3 linked regions of the Rattus norvegicus genome follow. The protein of the gene in region 1 purifies or fractionates together with the protein of each later gene. This does not show direct contact. Links are inferred from orthologs where the notes say so. Each region holds a gene or a part of one and is shown in the gene's direction. Other genes may lie near its edges. The genes, in order: Chaf1a, Cbx1 and Asf1b.

What was found.
Region 2: the proteins of Chaf1a (region 1) and Cbx1 purify together in Homo sapiens (affinity purification with mass spectrometry; 4 studies listed by BioGRID and IntAct, with this or other methods). This does not show direct contact. The link is inferred for Rattus norvegicus from reciprocal best matches to the Homo sapiens genes CHAF1A and CBX1.
Region 3: the proteins of Chaf1a (region 1) and Asf1b purify together in Homo sapiens (co-immunoprecipitation; 7 studies listed by BioGRID and IntAct, counting the BioPlex papers as one, with this or other methods). This does not show direct contact. The link is inferred for Rattus norvegicus from reciprocal best matches to the Homo sapiens genes CHAF1A and ASF1B.

The regions. Positions count from the first base shown.
Region 1 is NC_086027.1:981,621-985,266, forward strand, and holds part of Chaf1a (chromatin assembly factor 1 subunit A), read left to right. Parts: intron 1-812; coding exon 813-1,039; intron 1,040-1,271; coding exon 1,272-1,440; intron 1,441-1,525; coding exon 1,526-1,606; intron 1,607-2,035; coding exon 2,036-2,128; intron 2,129-2,664; coding exon 2,665-2,920; intron 2,921-3,646. UniProt on the Homo sapiens protein: Acts as a component of the histone chaperone complex chromatin assembly factor 1 (CAF-1), which assembles histone octamers onto DNA during replication and repair.
Region 2 is NC_086028.1:82,280,225-82,283,870, forward strand, and holds part of Cbx1 (chromobox protein homolog 1), read left to right. Parts: intron 1-405; coding exon 406-583; intron 584-1,471; coding exon of another isoform or gene 1,472-1,495; coding exon 1,496-1,590; intron 1,591-3,646. UniProt on the Homo sapiens protein: Component of heterochromatin. Recognizes and binds histone H3 tails methylated at 'Lys-9', leading to epigenetic repression. Interaction with lamin B receptor (LBR) can contribute to the association of the heterochromatin with the inner nuclear membrane.
Region 3 is NC_086037.1:41,097,426-41,101,623, reverse strand, and holds the start of Asf1b (histone chaperone ASF1B), read left to right. Parts: upstream 1-1,271; 5' UTR 1,272-1,435; coding exon 1,436-1,544; intron 1,545-2,407; exon of another isoform or gene 2,408-2,540; intron 2,541-4,198. UniProt on the Homo sapiens protein: Histone chaperone that facilitates histone deposition and histone exchange and removal during nucleosome assembly and disassembly. Cooperates with chromatin assembly factor 1 (CAF-1) to promote replication-dependent chromatin assembly.

The DNA.
Region 1 (3,646 bases):
AGAGCACCAGCCAAGCAGCCTGGCTGGATACAAAGTGCAGCCCTAGTGCACACTGACATAGCTGTCAGAGAGAACAACTGGAGAATACACGGCCAATGGTGGGATGAGTGGCCCAGCCGACAGGGCATATGGTTGGACACAATCCCTGTTGGGCACTCTTTATTGTGTTTTCACCCAGAACAAAGGAACTGGCTCTGAACTCTGCCACATGCTGTCCCTGGGGCCTGAGCTGTTCCTTGTCCCTTGTTTCACCCATCCCAGTCAATTCACTAACCATTCAATTCACTCCAGAGCTCAGTGAGTTTGACAAACATTTCTGAAAATGTGGGGACCAAGAGGCACAACACATACACATAACAAAATGAATGGAGGTATTCCTCTTTTCTATAAGATTTTTGATTTTATTGGTATGACTGTTTTGCCTGTGTCCTCTGGAAGAGCAGCATTGCTTCTTAACTACTGAGCCATCTTTCCAGTCCCTAAGTAAATAAACTGTAAAAAAGGAAAAAATAAAAATCTGGAAGACAACTGTGTCAGCCCATGCCTGTCATCTCAGCAGGCTTAGATTTTCTGAGTTTGAGGCTGACCCAGGCTATACATAAGGCTGGGTCTCCATAAATAAGGTTAAAGCTATCAAGGTGGAGGTGGTTCTCAAGTGGCTTTGTTTGGAATGCATTCCTATCACTCCGAAGAAGGAAGACTCTGGAGTCTTCCAGCTTCCACGCAGCTCCCTTTGGCCACCAGGCAGCAGTGCACCTGAGCTAGCATGGCTTCTCACCTACTGGCAGTGCATTAAGTTCTTCCTATTGCAGACCCTGGCTGGCTCCTGTGGTAAGTTTGCCCCCTTTGAAATCAAAGAACACATGGTGTTGGCTCCACGGTGCCGGGCTACCTTGGATCAAGATCTGTGCGATCAGCTGGACCGGCTCCTACACCAGCAGAACGTGGCAAGCTCCTTCCTCAGTGACCTAAAGGGCCGACTGCCCCTGAGATCTGGGCCCACCCAGGTCTGTGGCCATGACACAGACATCATGAACAGGTGAGAGCTGGCACACCAGACCATAGAAGAGTCTGGCATGGAGCCCCATGCTGCCCTATGCTGCTGAGTCCTAGAGTCACCATCTCCCAGAGTGTCTCTCTTTACACGTTCTGGGGCTCTGGGGCACACCTTCCTGCACACCCAGGGTGCAGCAGGAGGAACAGGCCTGAGTAGTTCTGAACAGACAGGTCATGTGCAGCCAGCCATGAACACAGTATGGTCTGATTACCAGGGATGTGGTCATCGTGGAGAGCAGCAAGGTGGATGGTGTGCCTGAAAGGAAGAAGTTTGGCCGAATGAAGCTCCTGCAGTTCTCAGAGAACCACCGGCCAGCATACTGGGGGACATGGAATAAGAAGACAGCAGTCATCCGCCCCCGTAACCCCTGGGTCCAGGACAAAGTGAGCCTTGGGATTGGGGTTCCTCATGGGGGTGGGCTGTTCTGTGCTGTTTCACCATGATGCTCATGCCTTATTCTCTCTCCAGAAGCTTTTAGACTATGAGGTAGACAGTGACGATGAGTGGGAAGAGGAGGAGCCTGGGGAGTCTTTGTCCCACAGTGAGGGGGTAAGTAAACCCATTGAGTATGAATAGCAGCAACTACAGCAACTGCAGGAGAAGCCATCGTACACTCTTATATGGGGTGGGCTGTTGACCCGGTTGTTTTGCTCCTGCTTAGCCTAGTGACTGCTTGCCATCCCGGCGCCCCCAGGCAACATGGCTGTTGGAGCCACACTGAGTCCTACTAGTCCCTGCTTCCTCTGCCCACATGTACTGTTTCTGCCTTGCTCCCCAGCTGCTGACACCAGTGTAGATGCACACAGATTTACTGTGACGCGGAGGCTAAGCTAGGGGACATCCTGAGCCAATGTTGGGCACTAGGCAGGCTCTGTAGCCCCCTTAGCATCTGCATGGATGTATGTGTTTATATGTGGGACTGGACTGGCCTTCAACTCTGATATCTGTGTGCTGTAAGCTCTTGTCTTTCTCTTCAAGGATGAAGATGACGATGTGGGGGAAGATGAAGATGAGGACGATGGGTTCTTTGTGCCCCATGGGTACCTGTCTGAAGATGAAGGCGTAACTGAGGTGAGGGCTCCATTCTGAACTGATTATAGGGTGTTGAGGTGATCAGCTGCTTTGATTTAGGCTCTGGGTGAGCAGGCATGGGCTTTCTCTGCTGCATGGTCTGTAGATTTCCCCTAGAGTTCTAACAAACCACCACAGTTCCAGAAGGTCCTGTGCCCCTGTGAGCTCTCCCATAAGGGGCTGTGGAGAGCTTGAGTGGTATCCGTAGGTCCCAAGCTCCTAGTTGCAGGTTTAGGGAACCTGCATAGGATGACTGAGGTCAGACTGTCTGACCATGATGTTGGGCAGCTCAGGCCCTGCTGGAAGCCACATTGATCGGGGTGTTTCTGGGGTTGGGGATTTGGTCGCCTATTAACCAGGTCAAGAGGCTGTGAGGCTGGACAAAGCAAAACCACTGAAATATCCTGCCTTATCATATGATTAAAGATGTGAACTGACTTCTCAGAGTTGTCCTTCACTGCCACATCCTCTGTAGCTCATGCCACGGTGCCAGGGAGCGTGGGCATTAAACAAGGGTCTGTTCCATATCCTGCCAGGAGTGTGCGGATCCAGAGAACCACAAAGTACGCCAGAAGCTGAAGGCCAAGGAGTGGGATGAGCTCCTAGCCAAGAGCAAGCGCTTTCGCGTGCTGCAGCCTGTGCAGGTGGGATGTGTTTGGGCGGCAGAGGCAGCCAACTGCACAGGTTCCGACTTGAAGCTGCTGCAGCAGTTCACTGCATGCCTGCTGGATGTGACATCCCCTGATGAGCCAGAGCCCAGGGCCTCCAGGAGGGAAAAGAGGGACCAGCATAGTAAGTAGGGTACGGGAGTGTCCGGGAACAGCTCCTATCAGGGTGTCCTTGATGAGGTCACAAGTATGCAGAGCCTGTGTGTGGGTATCCGTCCACATGCAGCTTGTCTGCATGTAAAACTGACAGGGCCTTGGGTGCTGGGTACAAACTCAGGTTGTACATGAACCTGCCAAGTGCTTACCACTCAGCCATACCCCAGTCTTGCTATCCTACCCTTGACTTTTTGGGTTTTGTTGTTGTTGGTTTGGTTTTGGTTTTGGTTTTGGTTTTTTTGAGTCAGTGTCATTGTGACACAAGACAGGTCTTGGTTACCAGATGGCTTGCACTTTTCTTGAACTCATGGTGATTTTTTTGCTTCCAGCTCCTAAGAGCTTGACTTCCAGGTATAAGCCCCTAGGCATGGCTCCCTTGGAAATTTTAGTAGGACCCACAGCAGAATGATATAGTCAGTTTTGAGACCTGGACCAGAGTGCAATGCCACTCCCTCCCTGTCCTAAACCTGGGGACACTGGTGGCTCAGAGTGAGCAGCGACTGCTTAGGAGGAACATGAGGGCACACACAGCTGACCACGGGCATGGCCCAGGGCCACTGGGAAGTAGGCGTGTGGCTTCTTAGCCAACCGATGCCAAGTAGCTTTCTTTGAAGTGTGCCTTGCCAACCTTCCTTGGCAACAGTGAGGATGGATGGGGCCCTCTCATGGCTTCATCTAGCCCATCTCATCCTAC
Region 2 (3,646 bases), on another chromosome or scaffold:
TCTCATAGTCTACTGAAGAAGGACCTACACGCAGACTATTATATGACTGAATTTCTTGTTTTGTTTATTGGGGTGGGGAGGTGCCATGTAAGTCCTGGGATGGAACTCAGGTCTTCAGCCTTGGCCAATAGCTCCTTCTCCCATTTAAATGTCTTACTGGCCTAAGACAGTGGTTTCTGAGGACCTCTTTATAAAGGACAGTCTACTTTTGCAAAGTAGTCTTTTCTTGAAGAACGAACGCAAGTTTCTAAGCCTTTGGTCTCTACCTTCCCCTACTAGGAATGGTCTTCATCTTGAATGAAAGTCTAGTTATTGGTTATTAACTCTTCCAAGACTAGCTCTTTTCCCGGTATAAAAATACTGATCGGAATGGAAAGTCTAACTTGCTGTGCTTGCTGGTTTCAGTGAGGACAACACTTGGGAGCCAGAAGAGAATCTGGATTGCCCTGACCTTATTGCTGAGTTTCTACAGTCCCAGAAGACAGCTCATGAGACGGATAAATCAGACGGAGGCAAGCGCAAAGCTGATTCTGATTCTGAAGATAAAGGAGAGGAAAGCAAACCAAAGAAGAAGAAAGAAGAGGTAAGGCTAGAACCAGGGCTCGTCACCAGCCAGAGGCCGGGAATCCTAGTTTGGTTCTACCTCCTCTCCTGTCCTCACCTTCACTTCCTTTTCCTTTTTAATTTTATTTTCATTCATTCATTCACTTATTTATGAAAAGGTCTTGCATAGCCGCCTAGGCTGGCCTATAATTCAGTGTATATCCCAGGCCTGCCTTAAACTAGTGGCAATCCTCCTTTCTTAGCCTTCTAAGTTTTGAGACAACAGGTCTGACTGTTGAGATCACTGGTGTGAGCTACCATGCAGGACTTTGTTCCTTTGAATCTCAGAAGTCATGTCCTCTCTGTCTCTTCAGAAATAAGCTAATGTTTTAAAGGGATTTGAGGGTTAACCCTGTATATACCTGTAATCGTGGCATTCAGGAAGAAGAGGGAGACAAGATCGGGGAAGAGGCCTGGGTTGTAGAGACCTTATGTCAACAAAACATAACAAAGTGAAAAAGGATTTGAGACTTCCTCTTAGGAGGTGATCTTACTTTTTATCCATGGTGCAGAAATAATAACATGTAACAGTTATTGGAGACTTAGAGTGTAACTGGATACATTTCCTGTCAATAGATAGTTTTTTTGGTGTTTTGATCATAAAATATTTAAGGTAGTCTATCCTGGTCTACAGTGTGAGTTCCAGGACAGCCAGGACTACACACAGAAAAACTGTTTTGTCTCAGTGTCTTAAGTAACTTACCTTTGTGAAGCTTGGGGTGTATATCTTGTTCATGCTGGGAGGACCTCATGTGCTTCAGACTTCTGACACATGGTGTGGGTAACAGAGGAGTCCCTGAGTAAATGTTGGCTTACATTTCTTAAAGATAAATAACTCCATTCAGGATATAGTTCTATGTCAATAAAGGCTCTACCCATCTGGTTTTTACAGTCAGAAAAGCCACGAGGCTTTGCCCGGGGTCTGGAGCCAGAGCGGATTATTGGAGCTACTGACTCCAGTGGAGAGCTCATGTTCCTGATGAAATGGTGAGTCTCCCAGTGGCTCTGTGTGGTTGTTTTTTTCCTTCTCCCTATCTGTTCTATGCCAGAGGAAAAGAGCTGGACCTTCGAAATTCCAGTCGCCCAGGTGTGAAATCTTTAAGATGACATAGTCCTTCGATAGTGACACTCGGCCTGACTACCAACCTGGACTCATGAGTTACAGGTAGGGGCCCTTAGGATTTTCAGATTTTCACCTTTTTTTTTTTTTTTTGTTTTGGTTTTTTTTTTTTTTTTTTGGTTAGGTGGGAGAGGCTATGGAGAGGAATCACATTTCAGTTCTGTTACGTAAAGAAAAAATTTCTGAAATGTGGTTGAATCACCCTCCTCCTTCTCCACCTCCTTAGTAAAGATCAGGCTGGCCCCATAAACAATATTCTGTTCATGTTTGAGGGTTAGAAAAGAATTTATAGAATTTATTTTGAAGATTCCAAATTTACAGACGGAGCCAGCAGGGGTCAGCAAGGCCTCGTGACTGTTTACTGTTCCTGAGCATAATGTGAGGCTGTTTCTTTCTACTGTGTAGACACTCACCCCGTCTGTTAGTGCTGTTGAGTGTCGTCTGCTGAGCATGCTTGTGCTTGCTGTGCTCTAACCTGCTGGCGGATGGTGGGAGGTTTCTAAGACTAGCGTTCAGCGCAGTCCACTAGGGGATGGGGAACTTTGATCTGCCTTACATTTGCTGTCCATTGCTGACCAGAGCATAGTTACGGAGCACTCAGCGACAGTACTTTCCAACAGTTTGATGAACAGGCGTTCAAGTCAGCACAAGTAATCCTCTTTGTTTTTTGTTTTGAGACAGTTTTACTCTAGCCTAGGCTTGCTTTGAACTCAATCTTCCTGCCCCAAACTCTGTGCTGAGATCACAGGGAACTGTCACCATTCTGGATTAGGAAGAGTAAGTGTTAAGCCATTACCAGTTAAAATAGGATTCTCAAGGCTTTGTCCTTTGATTGGTCTAGAAATTTCACTGAAATTGATATCTGTGGTAGTTTTTTCCTACATGATGCCCGAAAAGGTTTAATTAACTTCAGTACAGGTGAAGGCCTGAAGACACAGGTCACAATTAACTATTACCTATTTTCTTCCTGTGTGTGCCCTCAGTATTTATTGAATCTGACCCTCATTTAGCTTACTTCCTGTAACTTATAGGAGGAAAGAAAAACTGAGTAATAGGATGTATTATGTAGTCTAGCTAGTACACACTTGCCCTGCATATATAACAAGTGTAAGTTAAAGACGTATCTTCTTAGTATGTAGGGCTGCATCCTTGGGCAGGTGCGATTCTAGACACAGAATCCAGCACTTAGATAAAACAGAAATATCACCAGTTGAAGGCAGCCTGGCCTAGAGTGCCATGAAGTCCTAAGTCATAACCCATGTCATTTTAGCAGTAGAGACAACTTGGAATATAGACTAAGACTTTGCCTCAACAAAACAGAAAGACAAAGAGGGAGGGAGGTGGGAAAGAGCATAGGGGATTGCATTCTAATTGTGGCAGACTTACTACCGTATTTAAAGGTTAAGATTTGGTTGTTGGGGACTGGAAAAATGGCTCAACGGTTAAGAACACTACCTACTCTTCCAGAGGTCCTGAGTTAATCCCAGCAACCACATGGTGGCTCACAACCATCTATATTAGGATCTAATGTCCTCTTCTGACATGTAGGTACACATGCAGATAGAGCACTCATATACACAAAATCAAATTTTTAAATTAAAAAAAAGTTAGCTGTTGAGCTGGGGGTGTGACTCAGATGGAAAGGGTTTGATCCCTAGCCCTGTAAAATAACAAAACAAACCCAAACCTTCATGATAAAGATGTGGTTACTGATAGAGGTCTTGCCTAGCATGTACAAGGCTCATGGTTTGAACTTCAGCGCCCACTCCCTCACCCTCAAAAGATTGAGTGTTGATTGTAAAACTTTACCCAAGTTTTTAAAAGTCACACATGGCTAGGTGTGGTAGTTGCACACCTTTGATCCCGATACTTAGAGGCAGAGGCAAATGGTTGTCTGTGAGTTTGAGGCTAGCTGGTCTCCAA
Region 3 (4,198 bases), on another chromosome or scaffold:
GAAAGTCTGCCTATCTCTTGAGTCCTGAGATTAATGGCATGCATCTACCTCTTCTTTTTGTTTTTAATCTTTAAAAAATGTGATGGGGGGGCAGCTGGAGAGATGGCTCAGTGGTTAAGAGCACCCGACTGCTCTTCCAGAGGTCATGAGTTCAATTCCCAGCAACCACATGGTGGCTCACAACCATCTGTAAAGAGATCCGATTCCCTCTTCTGGTGTATCTGAAGACAGCTACAGTGTACTCATATATAATAAATGAAAAAGAAAAAGAAAAAAAAAAAAAAAAAAAAAAAGAGCACTGACTGCTCTTCCAGAGGTCCTGAATTCAATTCCCAGCAACCACATGGTGGCTCACAACCATCTGTAAGGGGGATCTGATGCCCTCTTCTGGTGTGTCTGAAGACACCTGCAGTGTACTTATAAAATAACTAGTAAATAAATGTGATTGGAGACAGGGTGTCTCTGTGTAGCCCTGGCTGTCCTAGAAGGGGCCTCAAAGGCCTACCTGCCTCTGCTTTCTGTGTGCTGGGATAAAAGGCCTGTGCCACCAAGCCCAGACACACACACACACACACACACCACCACCACCACCACCATCATCATCATCATCATCATCATCGTCATCGCTGCGCCATTTTGTCTCGGGGTGATCCAAAGGTTCTCAACGGTCTTTTACAAAGGCAGGAACCCCTCAGGGTAGTCCCCGAAAACGCTCACCTGCTGACAGCCGCCTAAAGGCCTAAGTCACTTTTTCCTCCTTAATGCTTTTCACTGTGAGGGCGTGCGATTTCCACAGCGCTCCAGCCCAGCTTTCCTCATGCCCACCACATTAGCCAATCACATCTCAGAAACCCACTATGCCCCGCCCTCTATCGACAGTCAATCACTGGGAGTGCAAGTACCGTCCCCCTCTGCGCGTTTTAGTGAGAGTCGCGCGCCACCGTTCGGCCGTTGGTGGCGCTGCTCTCTGTGAGGTGCGTCTACCGGAAAAGCGGAACGAGGGGAGGGTCATGCTGGTGCGGTAACCCTTGGGATTGGACAAGAGAAGTTCCGCGCTCTAACTCCGCCCACCCGTACAAGCTATTCGAGTCGGAGACTCTAGGGATTGGTTCCCGATAGACCTTTACGAAGCTAAGAGATTATCGTTCCGCCTCCTGTAGACCGTGAAGAGGGAGCGTCTCTGATTGGTCTGTTGGTCCAGGCGCGCGCCGGAAGACGCCCCAGGATTGGCTGACGGCTCGCGCCGTCATAGATCCTTAGCGGCGATTGGCTGGAGGGCGGAGCCGGCTATTTGAAGGGAGCGCGCTTACGGGAGAAGCTCTTCGGAAAGAAGAGTTGGGAATCAGTGCGAGCTTTCTGTCCTGCCGACCCCCTTCTTCTCTGTAGCAAGTCACGGAAGAAGGCTCCACAGTACCTGCGGCTCCCAGGCGAGGTGATGGCCAAGGTGTCGGTGCTGAATGTGGCTGTGCTGGAGAACCCGAGCCCTTTCCACAGCCCCTTCCGGTTTGAGATCAGCTTCGAATGCAGTGAGGCCCTGTCTGACGGTGAGACTGGGCCTGTGCAGGGGACCCCGAACCCTCCTGCCCTCGTTTGTGCCACTCCCAGTCTCCCTGGGAACCTCTCCCCTGGGCCAACTGAATCTCCCATTAGTAATACGCCTCCATGGCCCAACTCGGACCCCTCGGTGGATACGACTCTATACAGTCCGCATTGTCTCGTGGAGGCCTCGTCACCCCTCGTCTTGCACCGCTTGTCCTTGCACGTTTTCCTTGTAGAGGTGTCAGCCTCCATTGGGTTCATGGAGACCCATCAGCCAAGCCTTCCCTATGGCTAGACCCCGGTTTTATGCCTTCCCCATAGGAAACCTATCTATCCTATGGGAACCCAACCTCCAGTACCGTCCCCTCATTTTCCTTGTGCATACCTTTTCCTGCAAACTAACCAGACCCTCCTCTTTTGTTACCCTGTCTGCCCATGACAAGACCTCCTCCATCCCATGACTCCCAGCAACACCCCAGACAACTCCAGATTTGTCCCCAGTAACTCCTGTTTGCCAACTGTAACGGCATGGTGTTGTCTATACCAGGGCTTCTTTCTTTAGGTTAGTCCCAAATCCTATGTATGAGCGTCCCCAGAGGAGAGATAGGGGCTTCTGACTCCAGTCTTTGTAGGTTTGGTCTCCCCAGCTCCTGGTCTGGGTGAATGTACTCAGGTGAGGGTGCCACAGCCAGGCAGCCCTCTTCCAGTTTCTGATATTTCTACTGGCTTCCAGCTAACTCAGTGCAAGGAATCCCTCATCCCTTCTGATGGGCTGATCTCATCTGGGGAGTGGGTGGACTGGCCAAACAGGGATGGGATGGAACTTTCATCAGCTGGGAGGACACTGGCTTTTGTGGATCTTTCACAGAATGACTTAATTCATCTGTGGGACATAAAGGTGGACATGGCTCTCATCTCATAGATAAGAGGACAAGAGCCATCAAGAGCAAAAGACCTTTCAAATAAATCTGTGAACATGTAAAATGTGAGGTCACTTTGAGGTAAGTCCAGCTTTCAGGTAAGCCAGTAGAAATCTCAGAAACTGGAAGAGGGCTGCCTGGCTGTGGCACCCTCACCTGAGTACATTCACCCAGACCAGGAGCTGGGGAGACCAAACCTACAAAGACTGGAGTCAGAAGCCCCTATCTCTCCTCTGGGGACGCTCATACATAGGACAACAGGAGACCATTTTGAGTGCTGAAAAGGATGTAGCAGCTGAGGAGGTAGAGCTCTGAGAGGCTAGGTTGTGGCAACCAGTGCCCCTTGGTGGCTGTTGAGTGGTATTCAGGCAGGGCCAGCCACTCCTGTTCACTTGGATGTGTGTGCTTGGAGTGGGCCAGCGGCTTGGCCTCTCCCTAGTTTCTTACCCTTTTTTAAGTTTAAACGAATCTACTTATGACTCACTATAGAATAAGCTGGGTTAAACCCTTGCTGGAACAAGGCAGGGTGTAAATAAATAAATAAAAGGTAGAGTAACGATGTGGAATAAGAGTTATTTGGAAGCCAAGAGGAGATATAAGGAGCTGATAGATTAAAGGATTCACAGTTCCCAGATGCTGAGAGATCAGGTTTCAATCAGCCTGTCTGTGCTCCTTGCATTTAAAAATGGTTGCATGGTCATTGCCTAGTGATACTTTTATTCTTTATTTATAGAATCAGAACAAGGCTAGAGTTAGCCTGCTGGTCATGTTTTAATGGGAGCAGGGTGATTTTTTCCAAGTCAGCCAGATAGTAGAAGCATTATCATTGAAGTTTGTCTCAGAGTTCTGAGTCCAGATTGTTTTTAAATTTTATCTTTTAGTTTTAATTTGTCTGTGGGTGTGGGCCAGAGAAACTTCAAGTGGTCTTTCTCAATTGCTTTCCACCTTATTTTATTTATTTTTGTGTGTGTATGTTTTGCCTACATGTATTTATGCCACCACTTGAGTGCCTGATACCCACATAGTTCAAAAGAAGGAGTTGGGTGTCCTAGAACTGGAGTTACAGGCTTGTGAGTTTCCATGTAGGTGTTAGGAATCTTACCTGGCCTCTAGGAGAGCAGCCAATGCTCTTAACCCATGGGCTGTCTCTATCTTGTCCTGCCTATTTTAGAAAGTGTCTCTATAAAATCTGGAGCTCCAATATTGCTAGTTGACCTGTCTAGTAAGCCAGGGATCCACCATTTTATCCTCCTAAGTAATGATGTTTTCTCCTTTTGTTTTTTGAAACAAGGTTTCTATATAGTTCTGCTGGCCTAGAGCTTACTCTGTAGACAAGGCTGGCCTTGAAGTCAAAGATCTGTTTGTCTCTGCCTTCCCAGTGCTGGGATTAAAAAGGTGTGCACCACCACATGTGCGTTCCTTCTCTTTTAATTTTTGTGTCTATGTTGGAGGTGGCATATGCATGGGAGCCTCTGGAAGGCAGAGACATCTGATCCTCTTTAGCTGGTTTGAGACTCCTGACATGGGTGTTGGGAATCAAACCTGGGTCTTTAAGATCAATACTAGATTCTAACCCTGAACTTCTCTCCAGCACCCTGAATTTAGGTTTTCATGGGAAACACTATCTGCCCAGACCTCTAGCCAGCTCCCAGATTCCTTTGCTTTCCTTCAGTCCTAAAAAAGGAAGAAAACATTTACTTGTATATCTTTTTTGTTTGCTCATGTGTATTTTGTCAGCA